Struthio camelus: one gene and its partner. The main gene of each other region encodes a partner of the protein of the gene in region 2 in a complex. Links are inferred from orthologs where the notes say so. Each region holds a gene or a part of one and is shown on either strand. Other genes may lie near its edges. The genes, in order: WDR82 and TOX4.

Region 1 (7,899 bases), on a different chromosome or scaffold from region 2:
GCTGAGCTCCTAATAAAAGGAATGAAAACCCCCAAATGTTGCCACTGTTACACTGAGAAAAGTTCTACCATTTAGGCCATCCTCTGCTGAAGTAGGACTCATTATACTGAAACCCAGCAGGCAGAAAACTGCCTTCTGTCAGCCCTTAGATTCATTAGGAATGATATATATAAGAAGGTGAGAGATCCAGACCCTTGAAACATTGGTTTGTTTAAAAAAAAAAAACAGGAAAAAAAGGAAAAAAAAACTAACTATTGGCCAGAATCTGTCAAACTCCACCACATCACAACAATAATCATTCACAGATTCAATTTTTCATCTCCACATGAATCTCCTGTAGAGAAGTAATTCACAGCTAAAACTTTCTAAGATGAGAAAAAAGCGTGCCCCGCATCCCTAGACATCTCTAAAAACCACATTTATGGTTTTAAGTCAATTGATAGTACACGAGCAACTTTCAAATTAATTTTGCAGCCGCTAGAGAAACGCATTCTGAAACATGGGTTACCTTGCTGAAAATGCTCTCATTGCCCTGTAACACAGACGTAAAAGATCGATGGTCTATTACTGCAAACTTCATTGAAACAAATCCTTTCACTGTAAAGCATACATCAGGACTAGACGGAGATAGGAATGAAAGGACCAAAAGCCTTCCAACCCATCAAATTGCTCTTTACAAGTTGGAAAGGGGAAGAAGAATCAATAGTATCTGCATTAACATCACTCAGCCCTTCTACTACTGTATGTAATTAGGATCTAGACTACTATCCATAGCAGATAGCATTCATATTATGTTACCTATTCTTATATAAATAAAAACTAACTCCTCTCAAATCAAAGCTCACTGCATCAGGGAGTGGCAAGAATGTTAATTTGTAAAGCAAGCAAACTAAACAGAAGTATAAAACAACATACAACAACAATTCTACAAAATAAAGAGAATAAGCAGAATGCATTCTTTCCAACACAGCAAGCGCAATGTCTTGGTCTGCTTGAAAACAGCAAAACGACTAGGAATACCAGGCTTACTGTAAAACTTATGCAACACTGACACCTCTGTCTCCTTCTTCTCCCTAAGCAATTTATTTTCCACTCCTGTATTGCTGTGCTGCCCCATTCATTCTCTCTCCTACAAACTGCATCCTCTTTTTCTTTTATTTGATATGTGAATGTCACGCTGCCTGCTTGCATCTCCCCAAGACTTTCCAAAAAACAAAAGCCCCCACAAAACTCAAAAGTGCATCTCCACAACAACAGGAAAGTTAAAACTTAAACACAACTTAAAAGAACTTAAATGAGCCAAACACATACTTGTGCCAAACACACAACGACTTACATGCAAAGAAAAGCTGTGATTGCAACATTCTCAATTTTTAAAATCATTATTACATGATGCACCAAAGGGCCAAGTCTCTTTGGTTTCCCAAGCTCAATTCCAGGCCCAGTAACCACCCCTCTATGGCACATTAGAGCTTTTACTGAAAATCAATACTGTAAACATGCAAATACATTTTTTAAGCAACTCTGAATTATCCAAACACCAAGTTTTTAATGGAATAATGACATCATTGGCTCAGTTTGGTCCAACTCTTACAGAAGAAGAAATGTCTTCTTTTGCAGACATTCCGAGACACAACCTACAAAAGTTACTGATTGCCTTGTCTGCATATTTGCATCCCCTGATCGACCAAGAGAACCATATTTCAGGGGCTGTGCGAATTACTGCTTTTTATCCAAAAGATGGGACGAGGATTGCATGAACAGTGAAAGAAGATAACTGCACAACTCTGTTCAATGAAAAATAAATACCTCTTAATTCATTAATAATTCATTAATAACGTCAAATAAGATCAATCAGTAAACATCTTAATTGATTCAATATGAATTTAGACAATTTCTGAAGATGCATGTAAGTCACATACGTATCTTAACTGCACTTCATAGATGAAGAGGTGACTAGAAAAAAATTAAGATTTAAAGCACAGAGAATCACCTTTACCCACAACACTCCCAGGTATCATTTAGAAACTACGTTTTAATGAAGACGTCACAGAGCTTCTGAAAGTTATTCTGGACACATACCATGCCACCCTCATCTTTAAGTTTAAGTACTTAACCAAGAAGCCACAGTTGGACTAACTACTTAAAATGGCACATCTGCACATTGCTCACCGCAACTGCCTCTATTTCACTTACTGAGATTTAAACCCAGACCAGCCTGAGAAGTCAGTTTGCCCACCCGTGACAATACCGAGGCCTAGACCTGCCACCAGATTCAAAATCCTCACCTTAAGCAATATTCATTCCTCGTAGCTAGGAAAACGCTCCAACACCCAATTACCATCAGTAGCTCTGGCCTAGCGAAGGGAGCGAGCAAAGACAAGCAGACAAACCTGACAGGACTGTGGTGCTCCCACCTCCGCGCCCCACCTTAAGCGTTTATAAATATTTCCTGTCACGCACTGCTGCCCGTCTACCCACGAGCTTAAATTTAGCCCGAGAACAAGAAAGAAGAAAGGACATCACCCAAGCTCAGCAGCCGGCGGGCAGAGAGCGGCCACCGCCGGCCGCCCCGGGGAGCCCCATCCCGCACGGGGGGCGGCGGCGGCGCCGCCGAGGGCCCGGGCCCGCACTCACTTTCCCTCCTGGCAGTCGTAGAGCACGATGGAGTCGTCGTCGCTGCTGGAGATGACGGTCTCGCCGTTGGGGCTGAAGTCGAAGCAGTTGATCTTGTCCGAGTTCTCGCGGAAGACCTTGGCCACGCGGAAGCTCCGCAGCACGTTGTCCGTTAGCTTCATGCCGCCGCCGGGCCGCGCCGAGGGCGGCGGCGAGCCGGGCGGGGCCCCGCGGCGGCGGCGGGCGGCGGCCGGGCGCGGCGCGGCGCGGCCCGGCCCGTCGGCTTGGCGGGGGTGGGGGGCGGCGGCGGCGGGGGGGGGGGGGGCGGCGGGCCGGGGCGGGCGGGGGGCGCCCTCCGGCGGGGCTCGGCCCGGTCAGGCCGCGGAGAGGCGGCTCCTCCTCATTGTGTCCGCCATCTTGCTGCGCCGGGAACGGGCGGGGGCGGCGCGCGGGGCACTGTGGGATGGAGGGCGGGAAGGGGGGGGCGCGCCGCCGCGGGGCGTTGTGGGAAGGCGGCGGGCCGCGCGCGCGGCCTGCTGGGATAGAGAAGGGCACGGAGGTGGGGGCTGGCGGCCATGTTGAGTGTGGCAGCAGGGGCGCCTACCCTCCCGCCGTGGGGCGGCTGTCGCCCTCCCCCTGGCCGGCGGGGCCCGGGGCGGGACGGGACAGGCCGGTGTAGTCCTAAGCACACAGGGTCCACGGGCTGAGCCTTGCCTTCAACGCCAGGGTCCCCCAGGCCGCGCGAGGGGCGCAGGCAGCCTGCGCCTGGGGGGACAGGGACACCCCGGGGCGGGGGGGGGGGGTGGCCGCAGGCCGCAGGCAGGGCCGGCGCAGCCGGGGTGTGGGCCTGGCTGCCCGCGGGGAGGGGGGGGGGCAGCTCCTCTGTGCCCCGGGGCTAACGTCCACCCCGAACCGGGGGCAACGCGTGGGCCGGGGGGGGGAGGGGGGCTGGCATCGCGCCCCGCTGGGCCTGCCCCGCGCACCCGGCCCGGCGGCGGCCCCAGGCGTCCGCGCCGCCGGGGGAACGTCACTTCCCGCCGCGCTCGGCCGGCCGGCCGCCTCGAGCCGCAGGTGGGCCGCCGCCGCCGGCACCGGGAGCGCCGGGCAGGCCCGGGCAGCGCGTCCCGCTCCGCTGCCCGCAGCCCGGCCGCCTGCTGCGCCCCGGCTCGCCTGCCGGCCTCGCGCAGCTGCTCTGCTACAGGGGAGCGCTGCTGCGCCGCGGCCGGCCCGCCGCCCGCTTCGGCTCGCCCCCCGCCGCCTGAGACCGTGGCGCCTTACGCGCCTCCCCCCCCCCACTTCTGCGGGGGTGCAGCTCCCATCGCGCGCCGGACGTGATGGCGGGTTTCGGGCCTGGCGCCGCCTCAAAAACATAAGGGAAGCTGCTGTGGCAGTGTGGGTTTTGCGGGTGAAACAGGTGCAAAGCGAAGGACGGTTAGCGTGGCGGCTTCAGCAGCGCGCCTCGACGTTTGTCCAGAAAAGCCGCGACAAAGTTTTACTCCACGAATAACCTGCCGCGTTCGCTACCGGCCATGTCTTTCGCTAGGGGTTTTGTTCCGTTTTGCTCTGCCCGCTGCTGGTGAGGAAACGGGAGCGAGGGTGCTCGGGGTGGGCTGCAGCTGCGGAGCCTGTACCCCGGCCCCAGCGCTTCCCGCCAGCTCCCCGCGGTGACCGAACGGGAGCGCTTCTCCTCAGGCCTCCTGCTCTGGAGTGAGCAGGACGCGGCTCTACCCCGCAGCGCGCTTCCTTAGCCTTGAGGCTTAGCTCCCATATTTATCTGCACCCGCTGTGAGAGTCAGACCCCCTTTCCTTTAAAATGCACAGTGATGATGTTTTTTCTCATTCTTCTGTTCTGTTTCCAGTTAAAGTGTTATAGACATTGTCTTATTTCCCACGATTTTTTATTCTCCGACCTGGCCTCCCCGCACTATTGCAGAAATGCTAGTGCTATACCAACGGACGGCGTAGGACTTCAGATGGGGATGAGCGGCACAATCTCCAGGGGCTTCCGAGATGTCTTGGGTGTTGCGGCCTGTGCTCCTGTAAAAAGGCAGTGGAATTGCTTTCTTGCTCTCGTGAGTCGTGATGTCAGGTTTTATGATCATGTTTTCAGACTTCTCATATCTTAAAGAATTGTTCTTGGAGTATAGCAATAGCTGTGAGAATCTTTAAAATTCCCCCATTAAAATTTCCAGCAACCCGGTATTTTAATTTTAGGAGAACAGCCAACCTTTCATTACTTGTGTCCCCAAGAAGCTTAGAACCGAAAGAAAGAAATGTCAACCCTAGATGCCTTTGTACATGTTAACTGCATTTTCCTTTCTTAGTCCCCAGAACAGAGTTTGCTTTTAGAATAATATTGCCCTCCTGTGGTCAAACAACAGCATGTCTGGGAAGTATCGTCAAAGGTCTGTTTAAATGTCATTGGAATAGAGTTAATTATTTCGTGTGCATATAGCTCATTTCCTAAAACAAAAGTCTTTTCTGTGCTTACTTGCTCTTACAGTTTCTTTATTACAGCTCACCGTTACAGATTTAGATCGCTTCCGGTCCAATTCACTCTTTTATATTCTGATCAGACTGGCCGGCCGGAAGGATTCAACAAGCTTTACTCTGAAATGAATACACGATTTTAACACTGGCGTCCACGAAGACTCAACAAAAGACACCTTCATTACTTCGGAAGGCCTCCGGGTCAGCTACCCCATTACAGGTCAGCTCAAAACCTAAAATATATTTTCATGTAAGGAAAGATTAAGTTAGAGAGGTGCAGAACAGCATTCCTCCTGCACACTGCAAATTATAAGATCAAAGCCTGGATTATCTCATGTGGGCCCAGCAGATGACTCATCGATACCATCATAAGACAATTTACTTCAAAACACCTACAATACTTAGCCAAGTTTTAGAGTTGTATAACACTGTGGGTTGTTGATTTGATATTTTGTCACTCCCTTTTTATTCTTTCTTCTGCCTTTCTTCCTAATCATTGGAACTTAGTTTGTCAGTTTATACAAAGCTGGAATTCATCTGGCAGGATAATTGGACCTTCTAGCAAAATGTCACATTATGTAGGAATTATGGAGAGTGGCCCTGCAAAACTAGTTAATAGAAAAGAGGTTTAATTGCTACTTGACTAATATTGATCAAATGCAGTGATGCTACCTATGCATTTATATGTTACCTACCACTGTAACCTGACCTGCGCAATACAAACAGTCCCGTGTTTGCATTTGCTCAAATGAATAGACATGAATTTCAGTGAGATGCTTCTGCTGAAACAACGCTGCTCAGGTGAATGCTTTTTTGTTGGACTCTGCTGTGGGTGATGATTCTCTGTGAGTGACGGGGTTTGAAGGCTTGTGTGGAAGGCTTGTGGCGCACAACTTGGCACCTCTTTATGGGCTTTTGAAAATAAGCATGAGGCTCTGGATCATCCAACCCTGTCCTTGCTGCTACATCACAGAAGTGTTGGTAAAAGGGACTTCCGGAGGTCCCTAGTCCACCCTTCTGCTCAGGGCAGGACTATCACTAAGGCAAGATCAGGCTGGCCATAGTTTTGTCTAGCCAAGTCTTTAAAACCTCCAAGGAGGGAGACCACGACCCCTCTGGGTAGCCATGTCCATAGCATGACTGACTTGCAAGGAGAGCACACTGGTTGCTCATATTCCCCTTGACGTTCATCCAGACCCCCTCTCTCCTTGTCAGCAGGGCTGCTACTCAGCCAGTCGGTTCCCAGTCTGCCTTAATGCCTGGGGGTCCTGCCCCAGCTGCAAAACTTCTCACTTCTCCTTGCTGCACATCACGAGGATTCTGTTGGCCCTGTCCTCGAGTTTATCACGGTTCCTCTGGCAGGTTGTTCCACCATTCAGTGTGTCAGCTACTCCCCCCAGTTAGTGTCATCCACAAAGTTACTGAGGATGCACTCTGTGCTATCTCCAGAAGCTTATCCCACCAAAGAAGCTGTGGGAAGCACGGACCCCCAGTATGGACGCAGGGCTTCCCTGTTCGTTACCGGCTGCCAGCTGGACACTTGAGCCACTGATTTCTACCCTCTGAGCCCAGCGGCTGAGCTGGTTTTTAGCCGGTCTAGCAGTATATTTGCCCAATTTCTTCAGCTTGCTAATGAGAATGGTGCCACAAACCTCACTGAAGTCAAGGTAGATTACATCTGCCACTCTCCCCTTGTTCCCATAGCCAGTCACCTCAGCCTAGAAGGCAGCTGTAATTGTAATCCTGTGACTGATTAATATTCCTGGCTCTTTCTCCTCTTATGTCATTTCCAGCTGAAGAGCTCATACATTTTTGCTATTAATCCCAAAGAGCATGACCTTGTATTCTGCAGTACTGAATTTCGCCCCCTTTCTATTATTCCAGTCGTCAAGGCTGGCAACTTTTCATCTTCTCTAGAATGCTATGATCCTCCTCTGTATTTTAAATGACTGTCAACTTTGACTGCAATTTGACTCGGAATAGGGAGCTTGAGGAATTGCAGCATGAAAGGAAGTAGACTTGGCACGGACTTGGCTTCAGGGTAGTACTGTTCCGCACTGAACTACAGAAGGATTTTTCTGGTCAAAATTTTTTCTTCCCCACAATCCCCAGCACATGGGAAAATCATTTTCAAAAGGTATATAGGGAGTGAAGGGAGTGTGACCTAGAAAAACTAGTAAGAGGCATATGTCAAATGTAGTTAATTTTTTTTGCTAATGATGCTGATCTATATATATAAAAAATGCTGAGCAGAACACTTATCTTCCCTGTGTTTGGCCTTAGGCTACATTCCCCATCAAAGGCAAAGAGACCTTGTTGACACTTTCCTGGTGAGCAAATCAGTCATGAGAGCAACATATTTCTTCTCCAAGAAACATACAGAAAACAGTGTATTGGAAATTAGGACTCCTGGGTTTCCAGAGCTCAGCATATTCTCGAACAAAGATACTCGGACTCCATCCTTTCTCTCTTGCTGGCCTAGCAAACCTGCTATGGAGCTCTCTGCTCTAATGGTACCACTTCTGCCCACCGTCATCCTCTTTCCCAGTGACCGCTGCAGGAGTGCCACGGTGAACAGAGGGGAAAGCCCCTGCACACCCGCTCGTGCACGGGACTCGTCGCATCTGAGCGGTGATCAGTTGGTCCCTCCCACCTGCAGATATTTTATCTTTTACAAAGTGTGAATGAGACAGTGTGGTAATTTTATGCAAATCCATGTGCGGATTAAAAAATAATCAAATTCTAAGATTTTTATTTGAAGAGATTAGTCTTGAAAAATCCCCCATCTAATCC
Region 2 (7,603 bases):
CCGTGGCTCATGCCCACCGGCATGTCCAGGGCTTGCACGCCGTACTGGGCGGAGAAACCGGCGTCGGCGGCGCTGCCGGGGTCGCCCAGGTCGTCGAAGTGGCCCACCACGTCGGAGACGGCCAGCGAGGGGTCGGCGTCCAGGGCGATGGGGGGGATCTCGAACTCCTCGTCGCCCAGGCTGGGCGTGTGGAAGGTCTGCGCGGCGAGGAGGAGGAGGAGGAGGAGGAAGGTGGGGCTGCCCCACCGCCCCGTTTCCTCCGCCGACCGGCCCCCCCCCCCCGCCGCCGCCTCACCTCGGCCCCCGTCAGGAAGGGGTGAGCCGTGCCGGTGATGGCCAGGTAGTTGTCGTTGCCGCCGGGGAACTGCGCGGCGCCCGGCCGGCCGGGAGGGAGAGAAACGGAGGCGGCTGAGGACAGCAACGGGCCGCCGGCACCTCCCCGGCGCTCCCAGTAGCCCCCAGCACCCTCCCAGCGCTCCCCAATACCCCCAGAACCCTCCCACTGTCCCCCAAACCCCCCTAACAGCCCCCAGCACCCTCCCAGTGCCCCCAACACCTCCCAACAGCCCCCAGCACCCTCCCAGTGCCCCCCAAGCCCCCCTAACAGCCCCCAGCACCCTCCCAGTGCTCCCAGCACCCCCCAGAACCCTCCCAGTGTCCCCCAAGCCCCCCTAACAGCCCCCAGCACCCTCCCAGTGCCCCCCAAACCCCCCTAACAGCTCCCAGCACCCTCCCAGTGCCCCCAGCACCTCCCAACAGCCCCCAGCACCCTCCCAGTGCTCCCAGCACCCCCCAGAACCCTCCCACTGTCCCCCAAACCCCCCTAACAGCCCCCAGCACCCTCCCAGTGTCCCCCAAACCCCCCTAACAGCTCCCAGCACCCTCCCAGTGCCCCCAACACCTCCCAACAGCCCCCAGCACCCTCCCAGTGCCCCCAGCACCCCCCAGCACCCTCCCAGTGTCCCCCAAACCCCCCCAATAGCCCCCAGCACCCTCCCAGTGCCCCCAACACCTCCCAACAGCCCCCAGCACCCTCCCAGTGCCCCCAGCACCCCCCAGAACCCTCCCAGTGCCCCCCAAACCCCCCCAATAGCCCCCAGCACCCTCCCAGTGCCCCATGCACCTCCCAATAGCCTCCAGCACCCTCCTAACAGCCCCCAGCACCCTCCCAGTGCCCCCAGCAGCCCCCAGCACCCTCCCAGTGCCCCCAATAGCTCCCAGTTCCGCCCCAGTGTGCCCCCAGCACCCCCTAATAGATCCCAACACCCCCCATCTCCCCCCCAGCACCCCCCAGTAACCCCCAGCACCCCTATGTCCCACCATCTGCCCCAACACCACCCAGCTCCCCCAGCTCTCCCCAGTAGCCCCCAACACCAACTCCCCCCATCACCCCCCAACAGCCCCCAGCACCCCATCTCCCCCATCACCCCCCAGCAGCCCCCATCGCCCCCCAATAGCCCCCAGCACCCCCATCTCCCCCCATCTCCTCCCCAGCAGTCCCCAGTACCCCCTATATACCCCTATATCCCCCCATATCCCCCCAAGAAGCCCCCAGCACCTCCTATCTCCCCTAACTCCCCCCATATCCCCCCCAGTAGCCCCCAGCACCCCCAACTCCCCCCCCACCCCCCAACACCCTCCATCTCCCCCCCAGCACCCCCTATCTACCCTAACTCCCCCCATATCCCCCCTAATAGCCCCCAACACCCCCCAACTCCCCCCATCGCCCCCCAACACCCTCCATCTCCCCCCCAGCAGCCCCCAACACCCCCTATATCCCCCTAACTCCCCCCATATCCCCCCCAGCAGCCCCCAACACCCCCCAACTCACCCCCATATCCCCCTAGTAACCCCCAACACCCCCCAACTCCCCCCATCGCCCCCCAACACCCTCCATCTCCCCCCCAGCAGCCCCCAGCACCCCCTATATACCCCTAACTCCCCCCATATCCCCCCAGTAGCCCCCAGCACCCCCTAACTCCCCCCATATCCCCCAACTCCCCCCAACACCCTCCATCTCCCCCCCAGCACCCCCCAGCACCCCCTATCTCCCCTAACTACCCCCATCTCCCCCCCAGTAGCCCCCAACTCCCCCCAACTCCCCCCATCGCCCCCCAACACCTCCATCTCCCCCCCCAGCAGCCCCCAGCACCCCCTATCTCCCCTAACTCCCTCCATCTCCCCCCAGCACCCCCTATATCCCAACTCCCCCCATATCCCCCCCAGCAGCCCCCAGCACCCCCTATATCCCAACTCCCCCCATATCCCCCCCAGCAGCCCCCAACACCCCCTATATCCCCCTAACTCCCCCCATATCCCCCCCAGCAGCCCCCAACACCCCCTATATCCCCCTAACTCTCTCCATCTCCCCCCCAGCAGCCCCCAGCACCCCCTATATCCCCCTAACTCCCCCCATCTCCCCCCCAGCAGCCCCCAACACCCCCTATATCCCCCTAACTCTCTCCATCTCCCCCCCAGCAGCCCCCAGCACCCCCTATCTCCCCCTAACTCCCCCCATATCCCCCCCAGTAGCCCCCAGCACCCCCTAACTCCCCTCATCGCCCCCCCATCTCCCCCCCCCGGTGCCCGGCTCTCCCCACGGGGCCTCCACCTCCACGACAACACCTCCCCCCCCCGGTCCCGGGCCCCGCTCACCTCCATGGCGCCGCCGCCGCCGAGCGAGAGTCTCCCCGCGACGCGCTCCGGCCCCCGACCCCGGAAGCGGAAGTCCCGCCTCCCCGCCCTCGCGTCACGCCGCGTCACTCCACTTCCGGCGCGAGGGTCATAGAGGCGGCCTCTCCCTCCCTCCCTCCCCCCCCCGCCGGCGGCGGGAGCCCCCCTAGGAGACGGGGTGGGAGGGGGAAAAAAGTCGCGTTTGGGTCTTTTCTGGCCCTGCCGAGCTGGCAGGGCCGGGTAGGAGCAGTGGAGCCGGCGGCCCCCGGCCCCAGAGCGCCCAGGTTCTGCCTAGAGCGCCGCCGGAAGCGGGAGGAGTAGAGGCGGCCGCCGGGGCGGGCAGAGCGCCGCCGGAAGCGGGAGGAGTAGAGGCGGCCGCCGGGGCGGGCAGAGCGCCGCCGGAAGCGGGAGGAGTAGAGGCGGCCGCCGGGGCGGGCAGAGCGCCGCCGGAAGCGGGAGGAGTAGAGGCGGCCGCCGGGGCGGGCAGAGCGCCGCCGGAAGCGGGAGGAGTAGAGGCGGCCGCCGGGGCGGGCAGAGCGCCGCCGGAAGCCGGAGGAGTAGAGGCGGCCGCCGGGGCGGGCAGAGCGCCGCCGGAAGCCGGAGGAGTAGAGGCGGCCTCCGGGGCGGGCAGAGCGCCGCCGGAAGCCGGAGGAGTAGAGGCGGCCGGCCTCCGAGGACAGAGCGGCCCTGGGCGGACCTGGTTCCGGGCATCATGTCTTACGCGTATCTCTTCAAATACATCATCATCGGCGATACCGGTACCGGGCCGGGGGGCAGGAAGGGTCTCTGAGGGGGCAGGAGAGCCTGAAGTGGGGCAGGAAGGGGCTGTGGGGGGGAGAAAGGGGTCTGAGGGGGGAAGGAAGGGTCTCTAGGGAGCACAGGAAGGGGCTCTGGGGGGCAGGATGGGGCTCTGGGGGGCACAGAAAGGGGGTCTGGGGGGCAGAAAAGGGTCTGGGGGCAGGAAGAGGCTCTAGGGAGCACAGGAGGGGCTTTGGGGGGCAAAAAGAGGCTTTGGGGGGACAGGAAGGGGCTCTGAGGGGGCAGGAGGGGGTCTGAGGGGGCAGGAGGGGGTCTGAGGGGGCAGGAGGGGGCTCTGGGGGGGCACAGAAAGGGGGTCTGGGGGCAGGAAGAGGCTCTAGGGAGCACAGGAAGGGACTTTGGGGGGCAAAAAGGGGCTTTGGGGGACAGGAAGGGGTCTGGGGGGGAAGGAAGGGGCTTTGAGGGGGCAGAAAGGGGTCTGAGGGGGCAGGATGGGGCTCTGGGAGGCACAGAAAGGGGCTCTGGGGGGGCAGGATGGGGCTCGAGGGAGGACAGGAAGGGGATTTGGGGGGCAAAAAGGGGCTTTGGGGGGCAGGAAGGGGTCTGGGGTGGAGGAAGAGGTTCTAGGGGGGCAGGAATGGGTCTGGAGGAAAGGAAGGGGCTTTGAAGGCGCAGAAAGGGGCTCTAGGGAGCACAGGAAGGGGCTTTGGGGGGGCAGGAATGGGCTCTGGGGGGCACAGAAAGGGGCTTTAGGGGGGCAGGAGAGGGTTGAAGGAGGCAGGATGGGGCTCTGGGGGGCAGAAAGGGGTCTGGGGGGCAGGAAGGGGCTCTAGGGAGCACAGGAAGGGGATTTGGGGGGCAAAAGGGGGCTTTGGGGGGGCAGGAAGGGGTTGGAGGGGGCAGGATGGGGCTCTGTGGGGGCAGAAAGGGGTCTGGGGTGGAGGAAGAGGCTCTGGGGGAGGCAGGAAGGGGTCTGGAGGGGAAGGAAGGGGCTTTGGGGGGGCAGGATGGGACTCTGGGGGTGCAGAAAGGGGGTCTGAGGGGGCAGGATGGGTTTCGGGGGGGGGTAGAAGAGCCTGAAGTGGGGCAGGAAGGGGCTTTGGAGGGGCAGGAAGGGGTCTAAGGGAGGAGGAAGGGGCTTTAGGGGGGCATGAAGGGCTCTGGGGGACAGGAAAGGGGTTGGGGGGACAAGAGGGGGCTCTGGGGGGACAAGAGGGGGCTTTGGGGGGACAGGAAAGGGGTCTGGGGGGACAGGAAAGGGGTCTGGGGGGAGGAAGGGGCTCTGGGGGGACAAGAGGGGTCTCTGGGGGGGCAGGAAGGGGCTTTAGGGGGGCAGAAGAGCCTGAGGGGGGCAGAAAGGGGTCATTTGGGGGGGGGGATTGAGGGGGGAGGCAAAAGGGGGCCGGTGGCCGGAGGGAGCTGGGGGTGTGGGGAGCAGCCAGGATGTAGGAGAGGGGGGAGAAAACAAGGGGGGAGGTATTTTTGGGGGGAGATCGAGGGCAGCAGTCGCGGAGGGAGCCGGAGCCCGTCCGTCCGTCCGCCCGCAGGCGTCGGCAAGTCCTGCCTGCTGCTGCAGTTCACCGACAAGCGCTTCCAGCCCGTCCACGACCTGACCATCGGTGAGGATCCCGGCCGGAGCGGAGCCCGGCCCCGCGTTTCCCCCGGCTCCTCCGAGCCCGCGTCCGGCAGCCCCGCGCCCTCTCTTGCAGGCGTCGAGTTCGGGGCGCGCATGATCAGCGTCGAGAACAAGCAGATCAAGCTGCAGATCTGGGATACGGTGAGGCCGCGGGGGAGAAAGAAAAAACAGCAGCGTATCGGGACCATCCCTTTTTTTTAAAAAGAAAAAAACAAAAAACTCTCTCTCTCTCTCTATATATATAAATATCTCTCTTTTTCCAGGCTGGACAGGAGTCTTTCCGCTCGATCACGCGTTCCTACTACCGAGGAGCGGCCGGGGCGCTGCTGGTTTACGATATCACCAGGTATCGCCGCCGGCCGCGCTCGCGTCGGCCTCGACGTCGTCCCCCCTCCGCCGCCCCCCACCCCGAATCGCTCTTGGCCCCCGCGCAGGCGCGAGACCTTCAACCACTTGACGTCCTGGCTGGAAGACGCCCGCCAACACTCCAGCTCCAACATGGTCATCATGCTGATCGGGAACAAGAGGTTAAATAAAAACAACAAGAGCGAGTCCGGAGACTCGTCCCGGACTCTAAGAAGGGAGGTTTTTTTGTTTTTTCGTTTTTTTCACCCACCTCACCCCCCCTTTCTTTTCTTGCGTCCTGCCCCTCGGCCGAATCCGTCTCCTGCCTCGGCAGCGACCTGGAGTCGCGGCGGGACGTGCGGAAGGAGGAGGGCGAAGCCTTCGCCCGGGAGCACGGGCTGGTTTTCATGGAGACGTCGGCTAAGACGGCGGCCAACGTCGAAGAGGTGAAGGGATTATTTGGGGGGGGGGGCCGGCGGTTATATAAATACACATACGTATATATTTCTTTATGCTTTCCTGCTCGCCGGTGGGAAATCCCCTCTCAGAGCCACTGGGGGCAGCTGGTTTTCCCTCTTTTTTTTTTTTTTGTTTTTTCCTCCTTTTTTTTCCCCCTTTTTTTCCCCCCTCCTTTTTTTGCCTCTCGTTGGCAGGCGTTTATCGACACGGCCAAGGAGATCTACGGCAAGATCCAGCAGGGCCTGTTCGACGTGAGCAACGAGGTGAGCGCCCGGAGCCGGCGGGGCAGAGGGAAGCGGCGGCTCCCGCTCCCCTCTCTCCCCGATTCTCCTTTTCCAGGCCAACGGCATCAAAATCGGTCCCCAGCAACCCGCGGGGACGGCGCCTTCCTCCGCCGCCCGACACGGCGCTCCGGGCTCGGGAGACGGTTCCGGCTGCTGCTGAACGAATCGCCCCCTTCGTTTTGGGTTGGAGGGAAAAGGAGAGGAAAAAAGACGGCGGCTTCGAGCTGCGTTTCTCGCCGGGGCGGCTCCGCTGCCGCTTCAGCGCCGTCTCCGCTGCCTGTAAACGAGCTTTTTTTTTTTTTTTTTTTTTCTCTTTTTTTGATTTTTCAGTTTTCTTTTTTTAAACGCCGTGACCGCTCGCGGCGTCGTTCGACGCCGGCCGCCTCCGTAAATCCCCCGGCCCAGCCCCGACCACGATGTTTTCGGCACGGGAATTTCCCGCCCCGAACCTCCTCGTCGCCTCTTTCCCGCGAACGATCCCATTTCCCCCCCCAATTTCCCATCTGATTCAATCCCGTTTTCCCACCTGATTCAATCCCTTTCCTCCCCGTTTCCCCCATTTCCCACCCAATTCGATCCCATTTCCCCCCATTTTCCCACCTGATTTGATCCTGTTTCCTCCCTTTTCCCCATTTCCCACCCGACTCAATCCCATTTCCCCCCATTTTCCCCATTTCCCACCCGACTCGATCCTGGTTTCCTCCCCGTTTCCCCCCCATTTTCCCTCCCGATTTGAGCCCGTTTCCTCAGTTTTCCTCATTTTCCCCAGATTCAATCCTGTTTCCCCCCCTTTTTCCCACCCGATTCGGTCCCGTTTCCTCCCCCTCCACCGACACGTTTTCGCTCCGGTGAGGAAAACTACTCGCGGCCGAGCATCAGTTTTGGAGCTGGGGCAGGTTGTTTTGGGTTTTTTTTTTTTCCTCCTCCTCTTTTCACTCGCGCGACGTGCGGCGCTGGAGGGGAGGACGAGCGGTCGGGATAAAGCGCTTTGGCCAAAATCGCAGGGTTTCGCCTTCTTTCTCCTCGCCCCAAAAAACAGAAACACAGCAATTGTGCAGAAAAGCAAAAAAAAAAAAAAAAAAAATATATATATATATATATCTATACACATACACAAAATATACTTTTTTTTTTCTGTTAAACAATGCAGACGTTTCACGTTCACCTGTTCTGCCTTATAAACAGGAACATGAAGTATTTTAAAGGGCTTTTTCCTCATTTTCCTCAAGCATTTCCTTTTTCCGCTATAGGGAAAGATGAAAACTTACAGCAGCAGCAGGATTTTTGCTTTTTTTTGTTTTTCCCCCCATTTTCCTTAAAAAAAAAAACCCCAACAAACAGCTGCTTGAGTTTCAAAAAGGTGGTTTTGGGGTTTTTTTTCCCCCTCTCCCGTCATGAATTTGCGGGGAAACGGTTTTGCCGGGGAAAAGCCGCTTCGGGGACGCCC

The links.
Region 1: TOX4 (region 2) and WDR82 share a complex: the UniProt entries of both Homo sapiens proteins name them as parts of the PNUTS-PP1 phosphatase complex. The link is inferred for Struthio camelus from reciprocal best matches to the Homo sapiens genes TOX4 and WDR82.

Annotation. Positions count from the first base shown.
Region 1 is NC_090955.1:22,935,064-22,942,962, forward strand, and holds the start of WDR82 (WD repeat-containing protein 82), read right to left. Parts: upstream 3,052-7,899; 5' UTR 2,799-3,051; coding exon 2,638-2,798; intron 1-2,637. UniProt on the Homo sapiens protein: Regulatory component of the SET1/COMPASS complex implicated in the tethering of this complex to transcriptional start sites of active genes.
Region 2 is NC_090970.1:69,560-77,162, reverse strand, and holds the start of TOX4 (TOX high mobility group box family member 4), read right to left. Parts: upstream 3,048-7,603; 5' UTR 2,662-3,047; coding exon 2,656-2,661; intron 365-2,655; coding exon 296-364; intron 198-295; coding exon 1-197. Other genes in the region: RAB2B (ras-related protein Rab-2B), read left to right, coding at 3,386-3,431, 4,980-5,051, 5,142-5,209, 5,332-5,414, 5,503-5,595, 5,748-6,663. UniProt on the Homo sapiens protein: Transcription factor that modulates cell fate reprogramming from the somatic state to the pluripotent and neuronal fate. In liver, controls the expression of hormone-regulated gluconeogenic genes such as G6PC1 and PCK1.